3 linked regions of the Coturnix japonica genome follow. The protein of the gene in region 3 binds, or shares a complex with, the protein of the main gene of each other region. Links are inferred from orthologs where the notes say so. Each region holds a gene or a part of one and is shown on either strand. Other genes may lie near its edges.

The links.
Region 1: THOC3 (region 3) and SARNP share a complex: the UniProt entries of both Homo sapiens proteins name them as parts of the transcription/export (TREX) complex. The link is inferred for Coturnix japonica from reciprocal best matches to the Homo sapiens genes THOC3 and SARNP.
Region 2: THOC3 (region 3) and THOC7 share a complex: the UniProt entries of both Homo sapiens proteins name them as parts of the transcription/export (TREX) complex. The link is inferred for Coturnix japonica from reciprocal best matches to the Homo sapiens genes THOC3 and THOC7.

What each region holds. Positions count from the first base shown.
Region 1 is NC_029544.1:1,003,849-1,013,694, reverse strand, and holds the start of SARNP (SAP domain-containing ribonucleoprotein), read right to left. Parts: upstream 9,804-9,846; 5' UTR 9,710-9,803; coding exon 9,674-9,709; intron 9,239-9,673; coding exon 9,139-9,238; intron 8,907-9,138; coding exon 8,860-8,906; intron 7,746-8,859; coding exon 7,678-7,745; intron 6,401-7,677; coding exon 6,349-6,400; intron 4,267-6,348; coding exon 4,193-4,266; intron 3,907-4,192; coding exon 3,878-3,906; intron 3,494-3,877; coding exon 3,468-3,493; intron 3,272-3,467; coding exon 3,203-3,271; intron 1,190-3,202; coding exon 1,007-1,189; 3' UTR 1-1,006. UniProt on the Homo sapiens protein: Binds both single-stranded and double-stranded DNA with higher affinity for the single-stranded form. Specifically binds to scaffold/matrix attachment region DNA. Also binds single-stranded RNA. Enhances RNA unwinding activity of DDX39A.
Region 2 is NC_029527.1:10,987,117-10,997,062, forward strand, and holds the start of THOC7 (THO complex subunit 7 homolog), read right to left. Parts: upstream 6,324-9,946; 5' UTR 6,233-6,323; coding exon 6,214-6,232; intron 5,913-6,213; coding exon 5,795-5,912; intron 4,889-5,794; coding exon 4,761-4,888; intron 4,443-4,760; coding exon 4,356-4,442; intron 3,101-4,355; coding exon 3,043-3,100; intron 1-3,042. UniProt on the Homo sapiens protein: Component of the THO subcomplex of the TREX complex which is thought to couple mRNA transcription, processing and nuclear export, and which specifically associates with spliced mRNA and not with unspliced pre-mRNA.
Region 3 is NC_029528.1:12,222,160-12,232,105, reverse strand, and holds THOC3 (THO complex subunit 3), read right to left. Parts: upstream 6,221-9,946; 5' UTR 6,116-6,220; coding exon 5,933-6,115; intron 5,693-5,932; coding exon 5,536-5,692; intron 4,912-5,535; coding exon 4,707-4,911; intron 4,440-4,706; coding exon 4,278-4,439; intron 4,189-4,277; coding exon 4,088-4,188; intron 3,764-4,087; coding exon 3,600-3,763; 3' UTR 3,029-3,599; downstream 1-3,028. Other genes in the region: CPLX2 (complexin-2), read left to right, coding at 231-406, 521-718; SIMC1 (SUMO-interacting motif-containing protein 1), read left to right, coding at 6,428-6,439, 6,590-7,312, 7,506-7,726, 7,881-7,950, 8,385-8,530, 8,885-9,058, 9,580-9,708. UniProt on the Homo sapiens protein: Component of the THO subcomplex of the TREX complex which is thought to couple mRNA transcription, processing and nuclear export, and which specifically associates with spliced mRNA and not with unspliced pre-mRNA.

The sequences.
Region 1 (9,846 bases), on a different chromosome or scaffold from region 3:
CTGCTTCTCCTGCCCCCTGCTCACCCCCATCCCCACGCCGACGTCAGGCAGCAGCAGGCCAGCTCTCCTTGGCTAATAGCAGGCAGCGCGCACAGCGGTTCTCAGCTGCCACATGAGAAATAAGCTCTCATTAACGAGAATTAAAGCAGTGTTAACCTACAGCCGTGACTGATGGACGCATTAAAACGTTAACTCTTCCCAGCCAACGTCCGCCCGGGCGCTGTTGCTGCTGTTCATAACCCTGGTGTTGCTGCGCTCCAGCAGCAAAATGGAAGCCCAGCAGCTCTGCGAACACAAGTGAAGTTCCCCAAGGGGATTCGTAGCCAGGAAGGGCAGAGCTGAGTCCATCCCTGAGCACAGAACCCCCTGCCCTACCCCAAAAGTCACCCAGGGATGTTGAGAATGAGGCTGGGAGCGCACATCCCCCCCCCTCCCCCTGGGATCCTTTGTTCCCTGCAGCCCAGGGATGAGCTCTGGACTCCCACTGACCCCCCCCCAACCCCTCCCAGCTTCACCTCCCCACGCCCGGCCTCGAACAGAGGAGGGTTAATCAGCTAATTGCTCTGCGAGGCAGTTTGAGACCTCGGCGTCAAGGAGGAGATAGAAAAGCCAATTATTTTGGTCATCTGTTCGGATCCAGGAAGGTATCTGATAATGTCACACAAAGGTGGCAAACAGAGCTTTTATGCTATCCCAGGGGCTCTCGCTATCCATTTGGTGCCAGCGCTTTCTCAGCGGGAGACTTATGAGACTATTTTATACATAAAGAGCAAAGCATCCCCTCCGAGAGATGCTTCTGAACCGCGGCCTCAGCGCGGGCAACCCCCTCTGCAGCATCCAACCCTGCATATAAAACACGAAGCTCCACATCACTCCCCTGGGGAGCGGAGCCGGAGCGGCACAGGGAGCAGCTGCCGCAGAGAGGGAACATTTACAAGTGTGGGGGGTTAAGTACAGCTAACAGGAGTCAAGGGATGGGAGCTGTGGGTCAGAAGAGCCGTGTGCTTTAACAGGAGGCCTCGAAGGGGAGAGTCGGTGCTACGGGGAGATAAACGCTTGCTTGATTTATTTTATAAATTAATTTGATGGCCCCGTGCTGCCTTGAGACAAATGAGCACCTGCCTCTCTCTTGCTCCCGTGCAGCCCCAGCTTCCCTGCCCTGCTCCAGCGCTGCGCTCTCAGCTTCCCCCTTTGGGCAGAGAGGAAGAGGATTTTCAACTTGAAAGATTTCTACCCCAGAGGGCTAACAGAGGGGGAAGGGGGGGGGGGGAAGGGGTTCAAAGCTACAGATGAGTTCACAGCCACTAACACAGCTCCGCATTTGCTCCCTGCTCACAGCGGGGCTGAAATCCCCCCTTAGTTACGATTCTCCCCCTCACATCCCTACCCCTCCCCAAACCAATTTGAATGGGAAATGAAGTGTGGCTCCGTGGAGACAATGCTTTATTGTAAAGTTGGGTTGGTTGTTTTTTCTTTGCCCCCCCCCTCTCTCCTTGCTGCAACGTATGGTATAAAAACCTGCCAAGACACATGTAAACATTTGCAACCACCAGGCTCCCCCGTAATGAAAAGCTATAAAGAACACCCAGGTGGGAAGCACAATGCTACCAGCTAATTAAAGTAACCAATAATCTTCCTCCCAGGAATGCGAGTGTGTTCCGCTCAGTGGGAGAAGCCACTTCTAAGCCCGTGAACTCGACTTCCTGGTGGAGCAAAACCACCCCCCCAAACAAAATACATAGGAATAAAAGGACACTGCACAGAGAGGTGGGTACAAAGGCTGAGTGGGGAAGCTGCAGGGAGAGCTGGTGAGCAGGCTCATGGCCCTGGGCATGGCATTGCCCCGATGCTGAGGCTCCACCTATGCAGGAGGAGCTCAGCAGCACCCATAGAGCCCCCCAGTTTGCACCCTGGGCTTTGGGGTTTTTTGCTCCCAGTTGCTGAGCTGTGGACACACAGTCCTGACCAGAGAAGGCCACGGCCATAAAACACTGACAGGGCATATATTCCTCCTGAAAAATGGGAGCTCCTGGTGACAGGGTTAATGATGTTTGAGCAGCCTCTCACCCTGAGCTCCATGTATCCCGGCTTTAATGCACTGCCCTCCTTCCCCCACCCCCAAAGGGACAGAGGAGGGAGGGGGGGGGGGGGCGGGAAACAGCGACCTCCAATGCCAGATATTTTCTACATCAGTGAATTCCCAGGGCCGGTGGAATAAAGCAGAACGCTCATACATAGAGAAACAGGCAGCAAAAAAGGTCAAATCCATCCCCCCGAGGAGGAGAGGGGCTCATTTTGCAGGGATGCAGGAAGATCAACCTCCCCGAGCTCTTACCCTTTTCCAGATTGAGAGGAGAAATCTCCATGCCAACATCAGCCAGCTGTTATGGCTGGACAATTCGTTTGCATCCCCCACTATTTCTGAGCAGTGCTGCAGCACAAGGGTTGTTAAAGGCCAGAAGAGGAACGGGGCCGTTTTCCATTCAGGAAGCACACAGGATGCCACCATTCTCATCTCACTGTATTCACCCACCCTCCTATTTGACCTAAACATGCTGCATTCACTTTCTCCTGGCTCATCAGGGAACGACCACAGCCACGTGTGACCCCAGCGTGCCCTGCATCCCCCTGCCCAACACACAAAGGTATCAATGAAATCAGCTCCTACACACAAGGACTGGAGGCAACCCGTGCTCAGAAGCTTGTGGGAATATCTCCAAAGCCTCAAAACCAATTTTATCCCCCTCCAAAATCCACCTCATTTGTACTTCAAAGAGTTACCAGGGAGCTCCAGCCTCTTTCTCTTCGGAGAGCTCCTTAGCTTGCTCTCTGCAGACCTGGTTTCTACCCCCAATCAGAAATGTGCACTTAAAACACCCAAAACCAAACCAATTACACAACCTGCTACACAGCCTCCCTTCCCACGTCCAAACCAGCCCTATAACCTTCAAATTCGACACCTCTATTCAACCGTCACAACTTTCACCAAACCATATTAAGCCTCACACAAAACAAACAGAGGGAAAGATGAAGGAAATGATGTTGACAAGAGTCCCCCCGGGGCCCTGGAACCCACACTGCTGCATTAATAACACGACGTAAAACCTCCAGCAGTGAGGAGGCTTTGAACGGCCGCTGTGTGCTACGAGCCCTGGGCTCCAATGGAGGTGCAAGAAGTATCCTGGAGGCCAATGCACCTTACCTTCTTGGAGAGCGAAGAGACATTCAAGCCAAATCTCTGAGCCCTTTCCTTTAATTTATCCATGTTTACCTACAAAGACACAGGAAACTGGTTTGTAAATCACTGTCGCTCACATTGTGGGGAGAAGGTTGTGCTGCAGCCCCCAGAATACAACCCCAGTGCTGTGCTCCCCCAAAACTCAGCTGGTGCTGCTGGGAAGCTGGGCCTGAAAGCAGAACCCAGACTGCTCAGAACAACCAATTTAGGAACAAGAAGCATCTCTTACCGTAGGTTTGCTGTCTGCAGAGAGGCCTGAGATGAGAAGAAAACAGAAAACTCAGTTAGAGAGCAAATATCTGGAGCAGCAATTGATCTGAGAAGAGGAGCAATGAAGTCACAGCACTGCTGGAAGCGCACACCAGTCTGACCAGTGAAGACCTGCTGTCCCATTTCTCCCTCTTTCCACACCATTCACTCAAGGATGAGCCTCCAAATGTCATCCCCAAGTCAGCTTTTCCCACCCATAAGACTTTTCACATGCTTTTCATCCCAGCTCTACAACTCCTGCTCAGAAACCCTGGGCGTGGACAGATGGTAAAACAAAGACAGCCTCACCAGCAACTTTTTCTTTCCCAGGAATAAATAAATATTTGCAGTAAGGTCACTCCATGAATTGGTTCAGCTTCACCTTCTCACCTTTTGTCGAAACTGTGGCCAAACCAAACCTGCAGAAAGCAAACAGAGCTCAGTGAGAGACCCAAGCAAACATGAGGTGGGTATCTAATACATCAAGCCTTCAGTAAGCACAGCACAGACTCTTCCTCCAAATGCTTAAGTGTACCTCAGTCCGACTGCTTGAGAGGAGCTGGGATGTGGGTATTACTGGCTAATGGAGCTACCACAGTAATTCCTATATGTGCCAACAGCAATTCCTCACTTGTTTCAAAGGGAAAACAGCCTCATTGCAGCAATGCAGCTGCTGCCTGTGCCAGGTGAGGATGGGGGACTCACCGAGCTGCACGCGCTGCCTTCTTGCTCTCCAGGCTCACGGGCACGTTGAAGCGCTCAGCTCTCTTCTGCATTCTCTGGAGGTGGGAGAAAAAGAATCCAGAGAAGGAGAGTGAGGACTGGAAGTCTATAGAGAGGAAATGGAAAGAGGCACATGGACTTAATAAGGGATGGGCGAACGCTTCCATGTGCGTGTGCCCGAGACACAGAGAGGCTTGGGGACATCAGAAGTGCACCAAAAAACCATTCGAATCCCCTTTAAAAGCTGAAAGGAAATATCTCACATTCTGTTATTACACAAGGGCCCAGAAATGCGTTTGGTGTTTTAGAGATTAGAGAAACAAGATACGATATTCAGGGAAACATTTCCTTTGGCCAAAAGCTCAGCGAGGAGCGCAATAAACATCTGCATCAAAACATAAATGTTTGGAGAAGATGGGTTAGGAATGTCACTCCTAATGGTGTCAGCGCCGAAGCTGAGAAGTCACTTGGAAGACAGAAAGACGTGGCACCGCTCAGGTCAAAGCACACTTCCTTATCCTCGCTCTTTGAAGGGTATCCAAAAGAAATATCCAATAGAGTGGGCGGCCACACAAAAGCCATGCTGGATCAACAGCCCAATAGAAGGCAGTGGCAGCACAGCTCAGATCATCCCACAAAGAAATGACCCCTCTGACCTTCCATCAGTGAATGAAGCCTTTCAATATTCTGCTATTGCTGAAAACAGGTAAAGCAAAGCCAGCTAATATTTATTTAGCCATATAACCAGGCGCAATGACTGAAGGTAGCCCTCCTCCTGTCAGTCCTATGGGTCCTGATGTTCAGAAGTATTAAACATGTATAGCATATAATAGTCTCAACAAGAGTAGGCTTGGCAATTGGCAAAGATTCGTTGGGCTTCTCTGCCAGTCACCTGCCTCCTTGCTTTATGAAGTGGTCAATATTTCCTACAACTTGAGCAGCCCACCTCCAACAATCAACGATGCACCGTATGGAATAAATAACTCGATGCTCTCTTCTAACAGATCTGAATGATGCTGGAAGCCATTCAGTTCATACACAGCCCCATAAAATACCAAAACAGTGGTTTTCCTTTCATTTGGCTCTATGGAATTTGAAGGGGGGGGGAATAAAACCCAACAAAGGATGAGTGTGTAACGTCAGCAGGTCTGTTAATGAGCTCTTTAAGCTGCTATGGCCAAGGGCAGCCCTGAATCACAGGGGGACATCAATCCTCCACCAGGTACCACGTTGCTCTTCATTACTCCTTCAGCTGAGGTCATAATCCTCTGCTTGCGACATCCCCCTGTGGTTGCTGTGGAAATGCTCCTGTCCCAAACAGGAGATTAGAGCTCGAAAGCAGCAGCGAACAGCAGGAAGACAAGAATCATGTTTTCATACTGACTGCTTTCTTACGGAGCACGAGTGGAAAACTAAAATGGGGGGGGGGGGTGATTAGAGAACCAGAGTGAGATCCCTGAAACTTTGAGTTTCACAAAGCTTTCCCAGAGGAATCAGAGGCTTCTAAGCGTGTTTGTTTTAAATAAGCCCAGCAAATACAAGTGACAAAGCTACAGAAGATAAAGATGAGATGATCTGTTAGTGTCTCCCAAACTCATTGCTCCCTGAAGGATATCCTCAGCAAAGCTTTGTAGTTTGGTGTTTGAAGCAAGCAGGCTTACAGCAAGCCCTGAGGGACACAGATGGGGATCACTGCAGGGAATGTTGCAGCAGGAAGGGCAGCACAATTTAGACAGTGGAGTTATAATGGGACAGTGTATATCTATCAGACTAAGCCATCTTTGCAATGGAAGGATGCACCAGGAGCAGCTCAGCTTGTCTCTAAGTTGGAAATATCGACGTAGGGTCAGAAATGGCAGCAAGGAAGGATGCACCTCCAGACTGCAGAGAGAAGCATTCCATAAGATCACAGCAAAACGGAACGTGCTGTGGGGTCAGCATGCTGCTGCTAGGTCAGCCCGCAGCCGCAGCCTGGTCATTAATAACCAATTAATTAACCAAGCCAAAATAATGGTTTGCAATGTGTGCAAACACTGACAAAGCCTCAGCAATGTAAAAAAAAAAAAGAGACTCTGAATGAAGCAAACAAGCCAAGTGATACCTTGGGGATGAGGGTGAAGCAGCAGAAGGAACCTTACCTCCATCTGTGAGATTTCTGATGTTATTTTCACTACTTTCTTTTCAGTGCTCCTACAAGTGTTGGGAAAGAGAAACATCAGTCAGAATTCCCATTAGCACATCTCAATGAGAGAGAGATCAGGGCTCTCCTCCTAAACCCAGCATCACCTCAAGTCAAGCTCTGTTCTCAAGAGGAACAGTCAGCATCCCTGTTACAAGAGCAGGCTGAGAGCCCTGACAGTGATGCTGGAGTCTGAGGTCTGAGCTGTGTAAGGAAACAAATGAGCTGGTGAAGACACAGCCACCAGTTCTCCTCCTAGCTCAGTGAGTGCCTTCAGCAGCCCTGAGTTCCTTAAGCAATGATGGGAAACAAGTTGGAAGCCCCCAAAGCACACACAAGAACCACCCTCAGCACTCACACCCACTCACATAGGCTGGGAGAAAGGATGAACTCTATTTAAGGCATGAGAAACATCCTGCATTTTCAATGGGGTGCTGCAGGAGCACGTGGGGTGGGTATTACAGCAAGAGGCTGTAGATCCGCACACCCAGATCTACATCTTAAAGCTCTTAAGGGCAACATTCAGCTCCTGTTAGAAGCCCAAAGTCTCAACTGCGTGCCCTGAGGAGCTTTATTCCTTTATGGCCCCGAAATACAAAGGATCATTCTGTTCTAGTTCATGGGACAGCCCCAGGCAGCTCTCCCCAGGTCAGCACCAACGTCCTGGGCTCAGGCTCCATTTCAAACACACACTTCCTGAACAATGTGCAGCTGACAACAGCAGGACCAGTAAAAAGAGCGAACAAAAATATAATGGAGTGGGCGTGCTCTAAAGTTTATGCTCAGAAAACAGAGCTTGGGCTCGAGGGGAGGGGGGGGAAAAAACAAAGGAGGAAGAGACAAAGTTCGGAAGTTCCCAGGCTAAATGAAATAGCATCATCCTCCTCTAAAAAACTCCCATAAAACAGTAGGTCACAGCCAGCCTCATTAAGGTCTCCCATTTAGAAAAACGCGCTGCTTTTGTTCCAGATTCCTGGACAGGTTTCTCATTTTATGCCCTGAAAGGTAGTAATGGTTTAATGACACTTTCACAGGAAGCAATTTGGCTGGGGCCAGGCGCTCTCCCCGCTCTGAGGGCTCCCACACAGCTCCCCCCCAGCAAAGCCATCAGGCCACAGAACTCCAGCTCCCCTTACTGCAGCCCCTCCAGCCACAGGATGGGCTCACAGAGCCTTAAAAAGAGCCTGCAAGCATTAGGGGCAGGCAGAGCTCTCCCCTGCCATGCATCTCTTGTGTTACAGCATCCCCCACAAGTTTTGCTTTGGATTAAGTAGAAAGGGATAGTTACACATCAGGCGTTTTTACAGGAGGCTCTTCTACTTTGGCGGGTGGCTCTGCTGGTTTCTGCTCTTCTTCCTGCAAAGCAACGAGTTGGGAGGAGGTCAGAGAGCAACTCAGCAAGAGCAAAACATCACAATAAGGGCAGCAATGGCTCTTCTGGGTCCTCAGAGGCAACATGCCTGTAGTACAGCCTGAACATACCCATAAGTATCTGAATTTCATGCTAGAGCAGCTGGTGAGACCACACATCACCAGGGAACCCAAGCAGCTGCGTCTCCCCATGCTGCTGTCTCCTACTTGTGTGCTTGAAATCTCCTCCTCCCCAATGGGGTCTGACTCTGCTCAATAATGCAGGGTATGAGCAACCTTATGGACAGGAATTGCTTGTTCTTCTCTTTTTTACCCCCCAAAGCCTTACCCAACAGTTTGGGATTCACAGGCTTAGGAAATTATCCCAACTGAGACATTCTCAGGCCTGCAAGTAAAGAGCATCAGAAGCACACAGTGCTCACGCTCAGTGTCAGACACTCATCCAATGAGGTCCACTTCAATTCTCCCACCAAGAACTTCATAGACAACTGGGGAGAGCTCCCATGCACCACATATGTCCCTGCAGAGATGTGTGCTGAGCAGCAGAGCTGCTTTCTGCTCGTGTTTTAAGCTGGGATATCTGTACGTCCCAGAACATAAAGGTCCAATTCTGAGGCTCAGTCCCCTCCTGCAGCTCTGCCCACTATCAGGGCACCAGTTTGTTGTTAGGGATTCCTTACCAGAAGCACAACAAACCCCAATAGATTTGCTGTTAACAAACACACAACAACAGCACGTTTCCTGCTGAAAAGAGGCAGAATTCCCCCTCCTAAAACACCAGCCACGTATCGTGACCACGAGCTCATACAGAAACCACCGTGCACTCATTCATTCTCCATGCAAACACAGCAGCACTGAGCCCCCAGCACCAAAACTGGCCGATTCAGATCCAACAGTGCTCAGCACAGCCCCAAGCCCAGCACAGCCCCAAGCACAGCAGAGCCTCAAACTCAGCACAGCCCCAAGCCCAGCACAGCCCCAAGCCCAACAGATCTCCTGCACTGCTGCTGCTCATTGCACTGCTCTGGCCCATCAATGCCCAACACAGCCACCCAGAGGCCGCACACCGCCAACACAACATCCCATCCCTCAGCTTTACCTCTATTTCTTCCCCCAGAACATCCTCTTCGTTGGCTTCTTCTTCAGCTAAAGAAGAAAAACAGCGGGTCAGTCGCTGATACAAATGACTGAGCGACGCCTTCGGCTTCTCAGATAAAGAAACGATGAATTTCTGATGATGAAACAGGGGATGCTCAGCTCCATTCAACACCCCACACAACAGCCGTTGCCTGAGGGATCTCTTCGCCATTGACAGCATTGAATCTGCCCCCAGGGGGTTGGTTATGAGCGCTGTGACCCGCAGGTACCCGGTACCCACCGTGCTCCTCCAGGTAGGCCTGCAGCCTGTTGATCAGATCCTGTTTGTTGCCCTTCGCCTCCAGCCCGCGGGCGAGACATTCCTGCTTCAGCTCAGCCAACTGATGGGGATGGAGAGGAGCCGGTTAGTAGGAGGGATTCACTCATATCACATATAACACAGCATCAAAGCATCGTATTTTAACAGCCTTTAGAAGGAGCTTTAATGTCTCCCTCCTTCCTTCCTCCTCACTCCCGTTTTAATGCAGCCAGGCCCAGATTCACCCCCTGTTATCTATTGATTTCAGGCCGGGCCTGAGGCCTCGTAACGGGCCCCGAGGCCTCACAGAGCGCGGCCCTATAGACAGAAGGCGGCCCTATATAGAAGGCGATACCGGAGCGCCTCCAAGGCCCAACCTCCCCCATAGCCCCGTTACCGGCAGCATCACCGGGACCTGAGCAAGCCCACACCACAACTCAAGTATAACAAACCCCTCCGTGTGTACAAAGCGATGGCCAAACCGCAAAGCTGCCGTTATGAACGGAGCGGCCTCTACCTTCAACTTGTGGAGCTCCACAGTCTCCGCCGCCATCTTGTCGCCCCCACAGCTCGCTGCCGGCTCCGCCCCCGCCGGCTGCCCAGCGTCCAATCACAACTGAGCTTTCTGAACGGGTGATTTCAACATCGCTCCTTGCGATTGGTTAGCTCCCACCGGCTCCTCATGTTTGC
Region 2 (9,946 bases), on a different chromosome or scaffold from region 3:
ACCTGCAGGGCTACTTCACCTACACAGGCAATAAACACAACAATTGTCAGATAATTCACATAGTCAAGTACTTTATCTCTGACAGTAGCCTGACCACACAAAGTAGTGGCTATCATGAACTTTACAGTAGGTTTACACAGAGTAATCCATGCTTCTAATGATACATGCTTCAGCTTATTCCTTAGAAAGCAAGATTTAATATTTGTATTCTTGCAATCCATATAAATACTCTCTAATTTTCTTCTCCCATCCCGGTTATTATTCTAATTGGTTAAGAGATAAAGGAAGTATGCAACACATGTAATCTTGGTCATTATTTCTAACTTTTTTGCATATGTAATCTGTCAATCCCTCTTCAGGACCCTTCTGCATGCATTTGATAGTTTTCTATTCTCATCTGGTCCACTACAATCCTTTCTGAGATACAGAATAGCATAGAATAATAGGTACCACGTTGCAGACTAGCTTACAAATGAGGATGAAGCAAGCATCCAGTTTGGCCCTTCTCATTTTCCTGTAATGTCTCTTGTAATATATGATCCATGTGATGAGAACAACCTCTTTTTTTTACAGGTCAGGTGGATTGAGGCTGATATTAGCAGGCAAAGCTACATACAGGTCAGCAAGGGAACAAAGTTGTTTTTTTCTGAAGTGCTGAGAGCTATTGCAACTAGTCTGGGCAGGGAATCACAAAAGGGCTTCCAGTCATGATGGCTGGGAAAAAGCCCTGGTTTAATACAACCTGAGGGTGTTGTCTATTCCTGAGGTAGTACACTGGTATCTGGAGGGGAATGCCTTAAATATGGCTGGGTGTGGCATAGTAAACCTTCCTATTATGGAAACAGGCTGACAGCTTATAGGCTTGTGCAATGATTTCTCTAGTATCTGGCTTCCAGTTTCTGAAAGGCTTCTGTTTCACCAAACATTGTTTACGCATTGCTGTCAGCTATAAGCAAGCAGCAAGAAGACAAGCAATTTTCTAGTAACATCCAAGCTATACCTGATGTTTTACTTCTTTTACTTTCAGCTCTGGAAAATCTTTGCCTAATCTTCTCATTTTTCTGTCTCCTTTTCTAAGACTGGTGTCATTGCTTCGTGCTGTAACAGCTCTTCTGATAAGGCAGTTAATTACACTGGCACTGCCATTTAGAGGCTCAGCTCCAGTCACTTCCTGAATTGGCTACTATTCATTACTCATGACTAAGTCAATAACAACTTCTCCTCCTTTGTGCTGCAGGACTCGTTGTTCCAAGAAATAGTCCCTTAAAAGCATAAAAAAAAAGTCTTTTTCTGAACTTTGTCCTATTGTGCTGTATGACTCGCTAAAGCTATAAATGTAACTCTTGCAATTCGCCATGACGTTTCTCTTGACAAGAAGTTTTCTCTAGAGTTTTTAGTGATTAGGAGTTGTTAGTGAGTCTCCCTGCATCCTGACTTACTTAAGGGGTGGTTTCTCCTGATTCACAGTATGTGATTTTCTATATTTTTCTCTCAAACTAGAGATAGAAACTATGTAAAGTGTTTTAATTACAAGGCTTCCTTTTTTTAGTGTTCACGTAGAGAAGTCAGTTAAAGCTGGAATACCTATAAAAATGTTTTCAATGTCTGATTTCTCTATGTCTGATTTGTAAAATCAGTAAAATAAGAGACTCTGCCATAGTTCAAGTCCATGTCTTGGACTACAGATATAAAGGACTTAAGGACACAAGGGGGTATGTTGTAGACACTCCTACAGTGCATGAGCAAAGGGGTATTTCTAACAATATACTCCTCTAAGGAGATAAGAAATTCAGTTTAAGAAAAGCCAAACTGCTAAATTCATTAGCTGAGCTTATTGCCATTTACAGCTCTGCTCAAGATACTGACATTTGGATGTGTTGTGCAAAATTAAAGCAACCTCCCCTCCCAAATCTTAACAATCTGGCACCTTAAAAAAAACAACAAAAAAACCCCTATCCATTAGTTGTTTCCATTCTTAATCAACTGACATATCTGAGAAGCTTCACTTTCAATAATCCTTTTTTATGAACCCTTGATAAGTGGCATGTGTTGATTAGTGAAGTAAGAAATAGCTACAAGAGAATGAACTGTGATAACCAAGACTGAGGTAATGAAATCCAAGTAAAATAAATGAGAAAGAATGAAATAGTGTCAGAAGTTTATAGCTAGACAAATTGCTAATATTAGGGTAAATAACATGATCAAAAATCTTTCTTCTGCTATAAAACAGCATGGGACGTGAAATAATAGCTTCCCTCTACAATTTCATTGAAAGCTGACAGCAGGATAGGAACAAGCTACATTTAAATGAGAAAGTAATCCGATGTCATGCCTTTAATCAGGTAAAGAAGAACAAACTTGTAGATGCTATGAATCCTGGAATGTTTCTGTGGCTTAATAGTATTCAAAAGATGATCTCCTCGTGATTGCTCAAAATGACTCAAAAGCACAGGTAGTGATCCAAACCCAGCTGTGACATGTAATACAGGAGGTTATATGCAGGACGAGTTGGACAACAGGTAGGTCTTACCTACGTGTCAGGGCAAGTTATATTGTGGTACACAAGGTAGTAATTTATAACCAGGCATGCAGGAACAACTACTAGAAGGAAAACACGGAACAACTCCACAAGCTTTCTCTTGCTTTCTCTAATTCTTATTCTATCTTACTTGCCTGTGTGATACACATTCTGCATGATTACTTGCTGCTGCACTTGACAGCACTGCCGCGCTATCTCTCTTTCCTGATCAACTTGTCACTGATAAACTGTCGTGCATTTACATCTGAGTTCATCCATTCACCTTAACAATGGAAAAACTTCAAATACAAAATTATTAGTAATGCTTCTGAACCCATACAGATAGAGATCAAAGGAAGAAAGCTGATAAGGGCACAATTCTAAAATGAAACACAAGTTTTTCTTGCATCAAAAGAAACTATGAAACAGGGAGGAAAAGGTCAAATAGTGAAACCAAGAAAATGTCAAATCTGCTGACTTTTAATTTGCTGGTTTATCATAATCTAATGCAGTCTTATACTTACTTCAGTGTTTCGTGTCTGTCTGGATGGTGCTGTATGACTTTGGCCAATGCATCGTATTCTGAAAGAAATTTAAGTATTACTAGTATAAGTTCTGAAGGTAGCGATATAAGAATACAAAATCTCCCATCAGCTCTTTCTACTTCTTAAAAAAGTGTTTTAATGTTTTCCAATCTCTACATAATATCTTGCATATAACAAAGGAACAGTCAAGCAAAAATGTATAATAATATAATAGAACATATCCAAGTAGATGACTAGTGTTGCTTTTATATATAATCTAATATATATATATAATGTATATATAGAAAAATCTGTGGATAGGATACTACACAGACATTTCAGATTTTTAGAGAAAAATAAAATGCTGCAAGAGAAACAGCTTTCTTCCACTTTGTTTTGTACACAAAGAACAACATGATGGTTATATAGACAGTTAAGGTGGACAGTTCTTGAAGGTACTATTCTATGTACACTAACCACCACATTCAGATGGAAAACGTGGGCAGAACATCTTCAAAAGCAAACACTTCAGATCCGTGCTTGTGAAGATTTAAGTACTCTACTTTCCTACTGCTTAAGGCTTTTTTCAGTCTCTAATAATAGAGTCTAACATTATCCACAAATCATATGTGCATGTGTTTTTAAAGGTTTTAAAACCTTTCACCTGTTACAGCTGGTCTTTCTTTCTTTCTTTTCAACTATTTTTACATTTCACTTTTTAGGAAGCAAAATTTTACCTTCCCAATTGCTAAATTTTGATAAGACTTACAGGGCAATGTTTTAAATTTCAACTAAAAATATCAGTATGTCTTTTAAGGATAAGGAACAGATGTCTGTAATACCTGGTTTAGAGGTATTTTGCAAGGCCATGTAAAATGAGTATGCAACTGGTACAACTGTTCTTGTATTAGGTACTACTTTTCCTTCTAAAGAGCTGAAGGAATATACTTATATAACTTTCAGTGTTGGTTGTAAGCTTATTTAACTCTTTTGTCTTGCTGCTACTAATGTGCTTTAGTTCTTAAGCCAACTGAATTGTCAAAGGATGCTTGGGAGGGTTTCTTTGGCTTGAGAACACCTCTGAGCTACTCTCTAAGTTCTCCTCATGTTACATCACTAAGATTTACTGCCTTAACCTCAACAACCAAACTTTCAGCAGTCTGTGTGGAACCTACCAGATAATGCTCTATGTAGCATCGATGGAGAGCATTTTCTTCTGAGTTTTCAAGAAATATGTCATCTGTTTTCCAGTACAATGTATTTTAAAAGATAACACATTAATAAAACCACCCAGTGTAGATAATGCTGCTTACCCTGGCGATTCTTTCTAATTCTTTTTGCTTGCAGGATTTGTTTCTTGCATTCAGAAATCTTCTCGTGTGCTGCAGCTATACTATTTTCTTTAACAGAAAGACACAAATCAAACAACAAACGCCATCAATCCATTCAGCTAAATCATCACAAACAGCACTTTGTATTTTATACTGCCTGCTATCTCCACGGGCTTCAAAACCATCTATGCCTTGACAGACTAAAAACATATTTTACTTATACACATTTTACACACTGACAAAACACGAGGGCAAGTATGAGTGGTATTAAAATAGTTTTTCTGTCACCCATCTCATGTTTACATTTTGTTTATCAGAACTGACTTGAGTTTCTTTATGAAAGAGAAATTCAAATAAGCATAGAATATTTTTTTTCTCATTTTTTACCTATATCCTTGTAGATCTTTTCATAATTTTCCATCTCTCTCAGGTTCATGTCATACACCAGAAGAGTTTTTCCCATTGAAAATTCACACTGCGATAAAGTACTCAGCATTCGTTGGTACTGACTGTAACTGAAAGCAAACAAGACATTTATTCCTCAGCAGCATGAAAATACCTGCCTGTTTTTATATCACGAGGAAAATGAAGCCTCAGGTAATGTACGGAACAGTTAAAACAGCAATTACTAAAGCAATAAAGGACTTCAAAGATTCAGTGCACAACTGCAAAAAGTACAGTTAAAAATGAATGCTGCACCGATTAATTTTATCATCATAAAGGTATAAAGCAGCATTACAGCATGGGCAGATTGCTCCAGGGATGATACTCTTCCCAACTAGAGCCAGCTCTGTGCCCACCACGATTAATATTTTAACACTCCAGTGCTTCTCTGTGCACAGCATCATCACAGAGTGCCCTCCTGCACTCCAGCATCGGCACAGACCCTACTGCAGAACAACATGTTGCTTAACCTTTAGTTCTTTGGCCTGTTTGTTTTCTTCTTTCTTTTCAGGGCAGTACAGCAGAAGCAGCACAGCCCCCACCTAACAGAACAAATGCAGAGCCACCAAATGGAACACTCAAGTCGTGATCCTGCTGTAATAATGGGACTGCTGAATCGTGAAGCAACGTGCCAACCTCCAGAGCCTTCGCTGTTAGATTTCAGGATGGTTTGCTCTGTAATTTTTGACCCATCTCCAGTGCATGTTTCTTGCCACAGCTCCTGGGCTTTGTCCAGAGAACCACACAGGGCTGAACATAGCAGAGATCATAGAATGGCTATGAATAGGACTGTAATGATCATCTAGTTTCAACCCCCTCCTGTGTGCAAGGTTGCCAACCACCGGAGCCCAGAGCCACATCCAGCCCAAATGGATGCATTTTAACACAGTTTACTTTCTTTGTCTAAACAGATGCTCAGTTTTATGCTCAACTGCAAAGCAATGAGGTTTCAAGACTTAAAAACAGCCAACAAATACCCTTCCTCCTGAGATCCAGAGTTACACCACTTGATGAAACTCTTCACCAGCAGATTGATCCGCCTGTCGTCCCCAGCTCCGTCTCCATCAATGAGAAGCCGTTTGCGGATAACTTCATCTGTGGGAAAAAAAACAACTCGTGTTTAGCGCTCCGTGCTGGAAGCGTGTGGCACGGCAGGAGCTCACCCAGCAGAATGTGGGTGAAATAAAACGCGTTCAATACGCGGGGCCTGGGATCGGCAGGGAGGCTGGGCCCGAGAGGCCCGATGGAGCCCCAGGCCCCGGCACTGAGCGCAGCGGAGCGGCCTGGAAGCGCTCCATGCGGGGTGAGGCCGCCGCGCAGGGGTGCGTGGCTTCCCCGGGGTGAGAAACCCGGAGCGGGGACAGCGAGAGGGAGGGCAGGAGGGAGGAGGTCTCACCGTCGGTCACGGCCCCCATGGCGGCGAGCGGCGGAGCCGGCGGGGCGGCGGCAGCAGCGAGTGAGGTCAGCTTCCCACAATGCAGCCGGAGAGAGCGGCGGCCATGGAGGGGGAGGCGGCGGCGGCGGCTGGGGCCTGAGCCGGCTGGCGGCGAACGCGCGGCCCATCGGCGGGGAGGGCCGGCCGGGAGGCCCGCACCCCGCGCGGAACCGGCCCCCTGGCGAGGGGCGGCCCCGCCAGGTGAGAGGCCGACGGGGGAGGGAAGCGGAGGTCCCCGCGCCCGCAGCCAGGCTCCACCTCCCAACCACCGCGCCCACGACCCCGCCGCCCCCCTCCTGGGCCGCCCCGCCATGCCCTCGGCACATGGCCCTCGCCCTTCGACGCCTGGCATCGAGGCGTGGGGCCGGCGCTGTGGGCTGAGGGGAGATGGGCTGAGCGCCTCGGGTCACGCTTGGGATGAGTCCCTGGTGTGTGGCTTGACACAAGAGGCTGAGCATTGGGGCAAGGGAAGGATGTGGAATGTTGTTCCTGAGGTGTTTCCTGGGGTGCTGTGCTGTGGGTGGTAACCAGAGCGGGTTGTTCCTATATGGAAAAGTGAACCGGTGCTGGGGTGTGCCGGGAGAAAAGAGGTATTAAGCTGTTGGATGAGATCAAGTGTTGGGTTTTCGCCTTTTGGACCAAAATGTTGACACCTGTGCCATGCTAAAGTTGATAATGTTACTTTAAGATACATTGGTACAATAATGATATGTGAGATGCATGTCCAGGCCCTGACATCTTGGCATTACCTTCTCCTCTTGGTTGGACACTAAGTACATGCAGACTCATTCTGCTTGTTGCTGTGTATTAAGAGAAAATGGGTGTAAGGAAGAAAGAACCGTGTCAGCATGTAGTGTCATCTCCATCTTCCTGGTTTTAGAGCCCTGAGTGACGACGGGTTCTTTTGTTCTGGATAGAGATGTATAACAGGGGTTTACATATTACTAGATTGTTGCAAGCCAGCACTTTGACTTGTGAAGTGGCACCTGGTAGGTTCTTTGCGAGGCACTATTGGGAAGGGCTACAGAGAGTGGTCATTAAAGCTCCATCTGGATTGAAGGTATTTCCAGTGTAGAAAAACTGGGTAAATATGCTGCTTTCTTGATATTTTTATGTATCTCTGCGTGATTTGTGAGTGATATAATTTGATGTGAAAAGTGGCGCTTTCCTACCCTACTTAGATCTCCTATCTTCAGCATCTTGGAGCATCCTGGTCTTATCAACACTTAATACTATTCATGCCATTCTCTTAGCTCTTTCCTTTTCTACTGTGATGAGAAGTTGATCAGAACTGTTGGGTGTTGAGGGTGCGAACTGTCAGTTATTTGTTTAATAATGCAAGAATACGTCTGTGTCATTTTCTGCCATTTAATCTAATATTTTCCCACTTATTGTTTATCATTCCAGTGTTGGTCAGATAGCCTTATTCAGCTCTCCACAGTGACAAATTCCTGGAGTAATTAATTTAGAACACAACAGTCCGTATAATTAGTTAATAATTTTTAATGACTTTTACGCCTTTCTTGTCTTCATTGGTGTCACTGATTACAGCATTCTCATAAATGCTCTGTCCTGGGTCTTATGGTAAGAATTTAGCTGTTATTTTTTCATTCTAAGACAGAGCTTTCAGGTATCATCAGTGTTCATCAACTTTCCTGTTTCAAAATGGGAACTGGAACTTGCTAAACACATCATGAAGAATCTCACTAAGGCTACATATTGATGTTAAATCCTGCTGTCTTTGCTCTTCTGTCTTGCCACGAGGTGTTTTGCCTAAGAAGCCAGTTCCAGCTTGCTGGATTTCTATACTCATTGAGTTTTCATTATGTCTTTGGAGTCTTCTTTCAGTTCGCTCCACTTCCAAGCAGAGTTCCTCATCTTGTAAGTATAAAACAACCTTTGTAATACATGTATGGGGTGCATGTTGCGCTAGGCTGTAGCCAAGGATGTTTTCTGCATTAATTCAGTGTTTGATGTAGGTCTCTGGAACGGGCTTGACTCGCTCTTATTTATCCTTCACCAGCTCTTGCATTCTGTGCAGATTCCATCAGCTACAGTCTTTTATATAAATCCTTCAATTAACAGGCAGAAATACTGCATAGCATTGAACCTTCCTTAAGAAATCAGTATTGCAGATCCATGTGGTAGGAAAAAATGTCTTGCGCAAGGCAAAGCATATTCCTCCATGCCAGGTAATTTGGAATAAGTACCTGTGCAAGCTTTCAACCAAGCTAAACATGATGTAGATTTTCCTCTTTCCTTGGATTCCTTTACGTGTGCCACATGTTAATAATAATTTGTTACACACCTGTCCTTGTCTAACCAGTGAAATGATCCTCTGTAATGTTTCCAGGTGTCCCTGGATACAGTGTAAGCTGGGTACATTTAGCATTGGGTTGTTACACATGTGGAAGTGGCTCAGATTTTCATCATTATCCTCTTTTTGTTCCTAAAAATGGCTTTGAAGTACACTTTATTATTTTCTTAATTGAAGAAATCTGTCAGTGTTGAGGTTTTCTCTCTTGAAAAGAAGCTCTGAAATAATTTCACAGACTTTAAGTTGACTTTATACATCCTCCCCTTTAACTATGTGTATATATATATATATATATATATATATATATATATACATACTTTCCAACTGCAGAAAGAATTAAAGGTGAAGAAGCTTTTCATAGTATTCAAGGGTATAATGAGCTATGATTTTTAGAGCTAAGAAAACGTCTTTAACTATTGATGAGGTGGATTTAAAATATTTTTCCTAAGCCGCCCTAATAATTCATGAGGTGGTTTTAGATTCCAGGTTTTCTTCGTGTTGAATAACTTCTAAATCAGACTGTTGTGTGGCATTAAATCTTACAGAGATCTAAGTATAGTAGGTCAGAAACTACAGGGTATTTTTATCCAGTCCAACCTATATTCTTGTCAGAAAGTCACACCAAATTTATTTAGTGAGACCTATTTTCTGTAAGCCTAAGTTTAGCATTACCGCCCTTTAGTTCTTTGTTGATTGTATTCTGTGATTTTCTGCAAGGCTGATATTGAGCTGACCTGCTGCTGTCACCCTGTTTTCTCTTGTAAATTACTGTTACGTTTTGTCTGCATTCTTCTTTGGCTTCTTTACCCTCAGTATTTACTGCAAATCAGCAGCAGTGTTTCAAGTGATTGCCATCTTATTCTGTACGAACTGCAGATGTTAAAATATTCACTCTTGGCAGATAGGACCGATTTTTATTTTTTTATTTTTTCAAAAAATAGCTTTTTATTCATTTATTTTTGTCTAAACAGTGTGATTCGTAGCCTTGTAAAAAGCTTTCCTAACACGGATCCATGTGTTTGCACAGAGCTAGCACGTTTTCATAGTGTTATATTATAACAAGAGAAGGGAGAGCAAGAATGCTCATTGGGACTGTAGGTTCCTGCTTGGTGAGAGCATCAAGGTGTTCTAACATGCATCTTGTAGAACTCAGTATCATGAAACTGCAGCAGGATGTATTAGGTAGTTTGATTTTTCTCTTGGTGTAAAAATCATTAACCCCAGAAGTTCCAGCTGCGTGTGTGCTGCATAGGAGGTTCTATGCTATCTCTGTGATACGTGATTTAAAATGGCTTCGGGGTAATTTTTGGGTGACACTTTGTATTTCATGCATGTTATGAGGAAGCAGCCATTTATTTTTTTGGAGCCATTTGGAAC
Region 3 (9,946 bases):
TCCCCTGGGTGCCGGTGCTGGAGCTGCCAGCGTCTCCCCCGGCTGACGCTGAAGTAGGGCAGTGCTGGCAGCCCGCAGCACTCCCCGTCCCTGCAGCACCCAGAGCCCAAACGCAGCCGGCTGTGGTGAGGGTGGCACAGGGGATGAGGGGACCCCAGGCTGTACTTGCAGGCTGGCTCCCTGCCCAGCTTGACTTTGTGGGCACTGGCTGAGAGTATCATGCTATGCAGGGGCCACCAAGGACATGGGGAAGATGCTGGGGGGCGAGGAGGAGAAGGACCCCGATGCGCAGAAGAAGGAGGAGGAGAGGCAGGAAGCGCTGCGCCAGCAGGAAGAGGAGCGGAAAGCCAAGCATGCCCGCATGGAGGCCGAGAGGGAGAAAGTCCGGCAGCAGATCCGTGACAAGGTGGGCAAACAGCTCCCTGTGCTGCTGGGGAGATGAGAGTGAGAGGTGACGGGTGTTGGGTGCAACATGGGCACTGCGTGCTGCCCGCCCCACTCAGAGCCTGTGTCCCCACAGTATGGGCTGAAGAAAAAGGAGGAGAAGGAGGCGGAGGAGAAGGCAGCACTGGAGCAGCCATGTGAGGGCAGCCTGACGCGCCCCAAGAAAGCCATCCCGGCAGGCTGCGGGGATGAGGAGGAAGAGGAGGAGGAGAGCATCCTGGACACCGTGCTCAAGTACCTGCCCGGCCCGCTGCAGGATATGTTCAAGAAGTAACAGCACCACCGACCCTGCCATGGGGTTCTGGGGCACGGGCGCCCTCCTCCCTCCCCCCTTCCATCAGTTCCCTTGGCCCCAAGGGGGTCCCTGCACCCCCTCTCCATCTCCTGCCCCTCCCTCGTCCCCCAACCAGACCAAACCATCCCATCCTGTCCAGGCAGGGCCCCCCGACCACGCCGTGCCAAAGGGGAGCGTCCCTGGCCGGACAGGGCGAACCGGGACCAAATGCACTGATGTAACCTGGCAGCGGGCTGGGGGCACCCCAGGCCCCACCAGACCCCGGGGCAGCTCCCCGTGCCCTCAGCCCTGCCCTTCTGCCCACACCCCCCCATACACACACACCCCCACCTGCCAGGGGTCCCGGGCAGGCCTCCTCGTGCCTGCCCTCGTCCCCAGCACTGCCATCCCCGACCCCATCCTGCCCTGGGCCAAGCCCAAAGCACAAAGCCAGGCGCCCTGCCCGCAGCTCCCCCATCCCTGATCCCCGGGCACGGGGGTCCCCCGGGGCTGCCCGGTGTGCCGCAGCATCGGGGGGTTGGAGGGGACCCCCTTCCCGCATCTCTGGCCCCATAGTTAAAGCCATATCAGTTAGACTGCAATACTTCAGCACCGGGAGGAGCAGGCGCCGCGCTCCGCTGACCGTGTATAAAGGCGCGTGCGGGGCAGGGTCCTCCCTGCCTCGTCCCCCTGCCCCGTCCCCGCTGTCCCCACCGCTCGCTCGTCCGTGTCTCGGCCCCGTTGCCCCGTTCTCGCATTAGTGTCTGTGTGCCAGGGTGCGCCCCGTTGCTCCATGCGTCCTCGTGTCCGCTGCTCACGCCTCGAACCCCAAAGCCCCGCAGTCCCCGGGGCTGCCCGCAGCACTGAGCTGACAGCGCCGTGCCCGCGGGTTGCAATAAGCCCAGTACGGGGCTGGGGGCCGCAGAGCCTGTCCCGGGCTGCCCCCCCGGCGCTGGGCACGCAGCTCCTCCAGGTAAAGCTGCCCGGGTACGTCCCAGGAGCTGCTGCTTGCGCCCCAGCAGGGGCACGCCATCGCCCCGGCCCGTCCCTTGCCGTACTGTGCTCCTGTCCTCCTTACCCCCATGCTTCCTCCGCCACAGCCCCCAGCCACTCAGCCCAGCCCTTCCCGGTTGGCAGAGGGCAGCTCGGGGCTTCGCAGTCATGCTGTGACCATCCTGCTCGAACTAGTCTTTGACAAACTAATAAAATAAAGGGATTTGTACATTGCTCCGGCCTCTTCTCAGCCATTACTTCCCTGTCACCTTCCCCATCCCTCCATCTCCCACCAGAGCTGAGACCCAGCCACTCAGCAGGTTACTGGAGGGCACGGGATTCATCCTCAGCCTGCATGGCATCCAGAAACCCACAGGTGGAGGGAAAGGCTTTCCATAGTCCCCCAGTGCTGCCCTCAGCCCAGCTGCCTCCACTTTCCCAGTGCCCTCTATGGGGACAAAAGGGTTCTGCAGCCCATCCTGCAGACCCATGGCTACGGTAGGAGGGCCCCTTCCCCATGACTAACTGGAGTCACCCACAGGGTACAAGGGCTCTTTTTCTATGCACAACCTTTTGGGGCTGAGGCTGGAGGCACCTCAATCCCAGTTTCCCCAAGAGCAGGAGCAGAAGCCAAGGCAAGCAGGGCCCCTGGCACACTGCAATCCTGATGCAGCACAGCTTGGGAGGGCTCTGCCTGCAGCCAGCCTCAGCTTCGACTGATTTGCCATCATTTAACAGCAAAAAGCTCAGCTGTTACCCAGGCGGCATCAGCAGTGCAGTCACCTGGAAAAGCCTCTGTCAGAAGGAAATATTAGGCTAGGAAATGATAGAGATCGTGCAGGCAAGGTCTCCATCACAGGCAGGCTGCGCCAGTGACTGCCTGCAACGTGACCCAGCGCACGGCGGGGAAGGGACCCGCTCTGCTCCGCTGGGGGAGAGGGGATGGGGGGCACAGGGACAGCTCAGCCTTAGGCCGGCAGCCGTGGGTCAGGCAGGTGCCTTCTGCTGCCACCACAATACTGCTCCATTGGTGTGGGTGCTGTTAGCTGGAGCAGAGGGCAGGGCTGGGTTACGGGATGGGGACAGTTGTGTGTGGCTGTTCCCATCCTATGTGCAGCATCCCTCATCATCTTGTCCCCAGTGTGGGGGCACAGCGCCCTCTGGTGGGGTGACACGAGATGGGGACGAGTCCTTAACACAGACCCCTGCCAGTGGGGCCCACCCGCGGCCACACCGTGGGGGTAATGGGAGCAGTCACTTAGCACCACGTTCCTTTCCCCACTCATCTCCTCCTGTGTCCACAGCAGCTGCAGGCACTTCGTTATGGAAGAGGATTTATCAAAATTATAAAAACAACCACAAATACAAAAAACACAAATCCCACAGCTGGGGGGGGAACGACCCCAGCTCACATCCCACACCCTCCCATGCAGCCCCTGTGATGCTCTGCATAGGGAAGGGGGCAGGCTGTGCTCCATGGCTGCCCTCACCACCGGGCTATGGGGGAGGACAGAAGGGACAATCATTGCTCATTGCTGCTGGGGCTTCCACACTGCTGCCCTGGAGCAGCGCTCCCACCTCGGGAGGTCCCTTCCAGCAGTCACATTCCATGATTTTCTTTGGCTGTTTGCCTTTGGAACAGATCTTCCATGCCCAGGGATGAGGCAGCCCTGAGATGGCACCCCCCATCCTCACCAGCACACAAGCTGCTTTTTACAAATGCTTCTGAGAGCAGCACACGTGGAGCTGAGACAAAGGGGACGGCACTGACAAGCAGGTAAGGAGAGGACCCACATCCTTACCCCATCCTATGCTAACTAAGCACTCTTCCATCCCCGAGCGTGGGGAAGTGTTGTGGCCCCTGGTTCCCTGCCCTGCTGCAGTTCCATTAGGAGTCATTGGGGAGCCCGAAGAGCTTAACAGTGCCTGCTTCTCGGCTGCTGTCGTATTTGCCATCTTTGTCGTCACAGGCGAAGGCCAGCAGAGGCCTCTTCGGGTGCCAGGCCACAGTGAAGGTAGGGGACTCACACTGCACCTCCCAGAGCTTCTCTCCTGCACAGAAAAGGGCCCACATCAGCCTGGAGCCTCCTGCTCTCCACTGCAGGCTGACCCGCAGCACACAACGCAGCTAAACACCTGCCTCTTCCCTCCCACGCAGGGCAGAGGAGGAACAAACGCTGCTTCAGCGCCTTTTAATCGCCTGGTGACAAGGCATGGACATGACACGCATATCGACAGCGGTCTGATGAGGCAGAGGCTCCCCCTCTCGGTGCTCTACTGCACACAGCCAAGCCGTTTCTTCCCGTGCCCTCCCAGCCACACCAGCACACCTCCATCAGCTTCCCTTGTTTCTGTTTCCCAAAAGCAAACCATTACCTGTCTCCACCTCTGCAATGTCAATGAAGTGATCCTCCGACGCCGATGCCAGCATCTTCCCATCATGGCTAAAGCTCAGTGTTCGCACAGGCCAGTCAAGCCTGCAGCATTAGAGCAAAGCTGACAGTGAGTGAACCCCCATGGAGTCACCAGAGAGGGGAGCAAATAGCTCCGACACAGCACTACCTACCTGGAGAAGCACCTCACACACACCAGCTCATCCACATCCCAGAGGCTGACCAGAGCATCAGCACTGCCTGTGGCAAAGTACTTCCCCATGGGATCGAACTTGATGCAGATGCAGTTGGAAGGATGGGCATTGATGGACTGAATGGGTTTCAGTTCTGGGTAGCTGCAGAGATGAAGGGAGAGGGCAGGAAACAGTGAGAGAAGCACAGGGCTGCTGTGCAAGCAGGGCAGGTGTGAGACATGCAGGGACCAGGTGTGAAACAAAACACTGCAGGGTGAGTTTGCTGCCATCACAGTGACTGGGAATCACTGGGATGTGGGACTCTGGTTCCACCAAAGCAGCAGAGTGGTGCAAACTGCCTCCACAAGCAGCGATGCACGAGGGCAGCCAACCCTGGTACCCTGCCCAGCAGCTGCCACAGGCACCCACCTGAGGATGTTGATGCAGCCATTCCCATTAGTGAGGAAGAACATGTTGTTATCGTTGTTCCAGGAGATCTCGTTCACCTCAAACTTGAACTGTTCCTCTGCTTTGGAGCGATGCGTCTTGGCGTCGATGAAGGTGACAACATCATCCTTGTTCCCCACCGCAATGGTCTGCCCGTCAGGGCTCCAACAGATGTTGATGTTCTCCCCTAGAGGGACAGAAAAGCAGCAGGTCCCATTTCCACCCAGCAGTTTGCAAGAGTCACAGTGGCAGGAGGCTTTTGTTTCTGATTTGAGGCCACAGTCTGCTCTGCTAACTCTGAATCACTCCCAGATGGGAAGAACTGCCAGGTCTGCAATTTAACACTGAAACTCTGCACTGAAAATTAAACTGAGAGCTGTAGCTTTGAGCCAATATGACTGCATTGCCATCCCTTCCCTTTAGACACAGTAACCACAAAGCAAGATCAAATCAAAAGACCCTCTTAACCCAGTGATCCCCGATATGCAGAACATCCAACAGTACACGCGTGTGAACAAGGACCAAGCAGTGCTGCAGATATGCCACCTTACAACTCCATTCTCAACCCTGACAGTTGGAAGACTCACATTTCTTAGGCCAGAGGCGGTAGCTGGGCTAATCAACCCATTAATAAGAATGGCTGCTTTATGAATCCATGTAAACTCAGACTTCTGCCACATCTCTCTGCACACACACGTTCCCCAGCCACCAGCCTCTTGCCCATAGATTCCAGACAAGCTCCCGTGACCCTTTAACAGAGTGTGATAGGAAACCAAAAGCAGCAAAGACCTCTCAATGTCAGGGGCCCCACCTTTGGTGTTGACGGTGGCAATGCACTTAGTGGTGCGGACGTCCCAGATGCGGATGGTTTTGTCCCCGGACGCGGTGACGAAGAGGTCGGGGTTGCTGGGATGCCAGCAGAGCTGATCCACGCTGTCACCGTGACCTCGGTAGTTGTTCTCTTTTACCTGGAAAAGGAGGAGAGCCGTAGTCCCATCATCCCTGGAGGTGCCAAAGGCCACGCGTAGGGCCCAGGGCAGCTCGATTGAGGGGGCGTGAGCCACCCATAGCAGGGCTGGGGGGGCTCTTAAGGGTCTTTCCAACACAGCCATGTGTTGGAAGCATTGCAGGGTGGCCGCCCTGCCCAGCACCCCGCTCCCGTTCCGTCTCTCAGTCCCACCCGCTCCCGGCCCGCTCCCCCCGCTCACCAGCCGGTCCTTCTCCAGCAGGAACACGCTGGCTGTCTTATCGAACGATCCCGACGCGAGTCTGCGGCCGCAGCAGCTCCACGCCACGGAGTGAACCTTGGCTCCGTGAGCCGGGAACTCGCGGCTGCGCGTGTTGGCTCGGAACAGCTCCTGCATGGCCTGCACGTACGGAGACAGCGCCATCCCGCCCCAACGCGCCGCCCGCCCCGCCGCCCTGACGCAGCTTCCGCCGGCCCGGCCCTATGAAGCCCCGACCCCCAGCAGAACGGAGGGCGGGGGGTTGCCGGGCATCCGTCGGCCGCTGTTCCGTCACGGCAGTTGGTGCCCGGTAACGAGGGGACGCGGCGGGCAGAGCGGGCATCGGGGCTGCACGGCGCCCTACGAGGGGAGACGGAAGGGCCGCGGGCAGGAAACATGGATTGAAATTGGTTTTCTTTTGCAGGTCTTGACAAAAGGCTCCGTGGTGTCGTAGCTCCAGAGCCGTGCTGCGATGCGATGGATGTGAAGGTAGTGCTGGATACAAGGGGGGGCTGTTAGCGGGGTGCAGGGCCCATGGCCGGGCTCCGGGTTTCTCTAAGGGATCCCCAGTTGAGCAGGGGAGGAGCGAGGCACCCAGCTGTTATCATTGCTGACTGACTGACCCTTTTGTCCCCACAGGAGATCATTGATCTCACCCAGGAGGACTCAAACTCAGAGCCACTGCCATGGAACTACATCCCCATCATTGACCTGACAAAGGAGGACACCTGCAGTCCTCCCCCGGCTGCAGATTGTACTGCCCAGGACCAGCTGTGTGCTCCCCCCATCACACACACGTCTCATCCCCAGCTTTGCTTCAGCACAAAGAAAAATACGGAGACGAACACAGAGCTGAGCCCTGCAGCACCCTTACACGGCTATCCCACATGGCCTGGTACAGACACAGCAGGAAAAACAGACAACAAGAGCAGCTTCTCTCCTGCCTTCAGCCACCACAGCTTCTCCTGCAAGCAAGAACCGAGCTACAGCACCACCACGTATAACACTGACTTGAGTTCCCTGACCAACACACAGCCAGATCAAGTGCTGTTCTCACCACCCCCCCCCATCCTGGACAGTAATGGCAGCACACGCAGCATAGAGGAGAGTCCCCCTCATTTCCAACGAAGGGAGCTCCCTCCAAGACTGAGCCCTGCTCCAGCCAGCGTCACCAAGAGCCCAGGGAAGGTCAAAAGGACTTTTTTGGAAGCAGGTGTCTCACAAGGAGCAATCCGACATGGGACCTCAGCCAGGACTAATTCTGACAGCATGGCCTGGCTGAACAAACTGCGCTATTTCAGAAGGAGCGGAGTCCAGCACCTCTTCTTTCACGGTGCAACATCTGACAGGGGAACACCACAGGTAAATGGGTTCAGAGCAGCTACTGCCCAGCCAGGTCCACTCAGAGCAGGGGAAAAACTTCCAGGGGAAGTTTTGCCAGGCCATTGGGATCTCTGGCTATTGCAATTCTCTTAATGGTGGGCCTCAAATCACTGCTAGGTTCCTCTGTACCGTGGGGGGCTGGCTTTCACCCATTGCCTTACCTTGCACACAGCGGAAACCTGAGCTCATCCCCAGCAGTAAGATGAGCATGGTACGCACCACCATGGAGGAGAACTTCCTGGAGGGAACCTTGCATTTCTTGAGTGACTTCATCTCCAGCCAGCACTGCCCTCCTAAAGAAATCATCTCCCATCTGATCAGACACATCCTGTTGCACACCCACCAGGAGGAGATCCTCCAGAACACCTACACGCTGCTGATGAAGATCCAAATGTACGTGTTCCCTTTGCCACCGTGCCCTGGGGCTGGTTAGGTGCCCAGTATAAGGGTTACCTTATAGAAGGGGGGGGTTGGGTGGGTGGGATGCTTGACATCAAGGCAGACAGTGTGGCAGTTCAGCACAAATTAGATGGTGTTGTCCTTGCAGGCTCCATCCAGCCAACACCACCACAGTAGGATGGGACTGGACGTTGCTGAAACACACCATGGAGAGCCAGGTACTCAGCACTACATGCGTCACATTAGGCAGGGATCTCCCAGTACCTGGTACTTGCCCCATTGCATCACCTGGCCTTGCTCTGCTGCACAACAGCTCAGTCCAGTGTGCAGTTCTATCGCAGCTGCTGAAGGTAGCAAGTGTTTTTATCCATGGTACCCCTTAACATGCTGCACAACTGCAGGCAGGTTGATGAATCTGAAGAAACCACAGCAGCAGACAAAATCATTTTGAACTGGAGCAATATGCCAGAAGCCCAAGTCGAACAGCCCCAGCCAAGGCTTTGGGGCATCGTTGAAACCATGCAACCCCTCCTAGAGAACAGCTGCACTATTCCTCAGTCACATACATCACCTCATTCCCAAAAAGCCACATTTCCTACTGCTCTTCACCCTGCAGCTCCATCAGACTCACACCATCTCTGTGTGCCCTCAGGAGAAGCTCCCTGGACGACTCCTCTTCCTGCAATACGTGGTGCAGACCTTGGAGGATGACTTCCAGCAAAACCTGAGACTGCACCTGCTGCAGAAGTCAATAACCAAGAAAGTGCTTTCCTGTGACACATGCTTCAACAATGTCAAGTAAGGGATGCGTTCTCCTCTCCCATACTTACATTAGCTGCAGAGAGGCAGGAGCTTATGGAATGTTTGTTGAGACTCCAGCTCAGACCTTTCAAGAAACAAGCTTGGAAAAGTAAAGCATAGGGGCCAGCTATAAAGAAAAGGAGCATGTTTATGACCATAAAAAAAAACCCCACAGATGATGCAAGGGCATTATCAGCCACAAGCAGACTTTTCTTTTTAAAACAAAAAAAGAAAAGACTGTCCAATCATAACATATCCTTCATCCTCGTAGTCCTTCTTCAAGCTCCAAGTGGAGTTAGAGGTCAGAACATGCAAAGCCAGGCCCATCTAACACTCCTGTTTCTGTCCCAGGGAGGTGGTTGAATGGTTGGTTGCAGTAGTGACAGGAGTCAGCTCCTTCCAGCTGCAGGAGCAGACACAAGACATGACACGCTTGTCAGCAGAAGCCAAAGGTAGCTCATCTGCAGCACAGCCAGCCAGCACTGACCAAGCACAGCTGACTCCACCAACATTCATTGCCCAGAAGTAAGTCCCACAAATGCTGGCTCCCTGCTGATGATAATATGGGGTCCAAGTTAGAAAAGCAAGTCCATTTGCTGTCTCCATCTTACCAAGGAAGCCAGGTTGTACCTGTGGTCAACTTTCTTAGCGTTTTCCTCTAAGGGCAGGTAAAGACCAGGTTAAAAGAGCAAGAGACTTTCTTGCCTGGCAGGAAGCTGGTTCACTGAATGCCTTCCTCTTAAATGAGGCCAGAGCTCTCAACCCACAGTGCAGGCTGCCCCATGCTGCTCTACCAACACTCAGTACAACCACTGAGAGCTCCCCTAATGTCCATGTGGAAATTGGCTCTGCTTCCAAGAGCATCAGATTTAATATATTCTAAGAGACACCACAGGGCTTTGTAGGAAGCAAAACAAATGTAACCTGATGCATTCCTTGATGTCTCTCACTCCAAGGCAGAAGGCTGAACTAGATGCCATCTTCAGTGCATCTTCTCTGCAAACCAATGGGTTTTGGTTTTTGTTTTAACTCTTTTTCTTACCTAGGGCAATGCTCCTCCTCCAGCGGATGTTGTCCTTTGCAGTGGAAGTGGACAGATCTCCCAACTGCAGCTCCTGTAAGATCGCAGATCTAATATTCCCATTTTTACTGAATATTGCCGTAAGGAGCCAAAGGTGAGAAATGTGCAAAGCAGCATTTCCTTTCTGAACAATAGTCTTACTCCCTGTTTCTGGATGCATTAAGTAGTATGGAGCATAGAAAGATGGACTCACTTTTGACCCAGCCAGCACGAACACAGCTGTAGGACTGAGAGATCCCATCAGTATTACCAGGCCAGCATGATGCTGAGAACAACCGATTCTCTCACCTCAGAACTGCAAAGTGGGACTAAAAGGCAGTAATCCACATCAG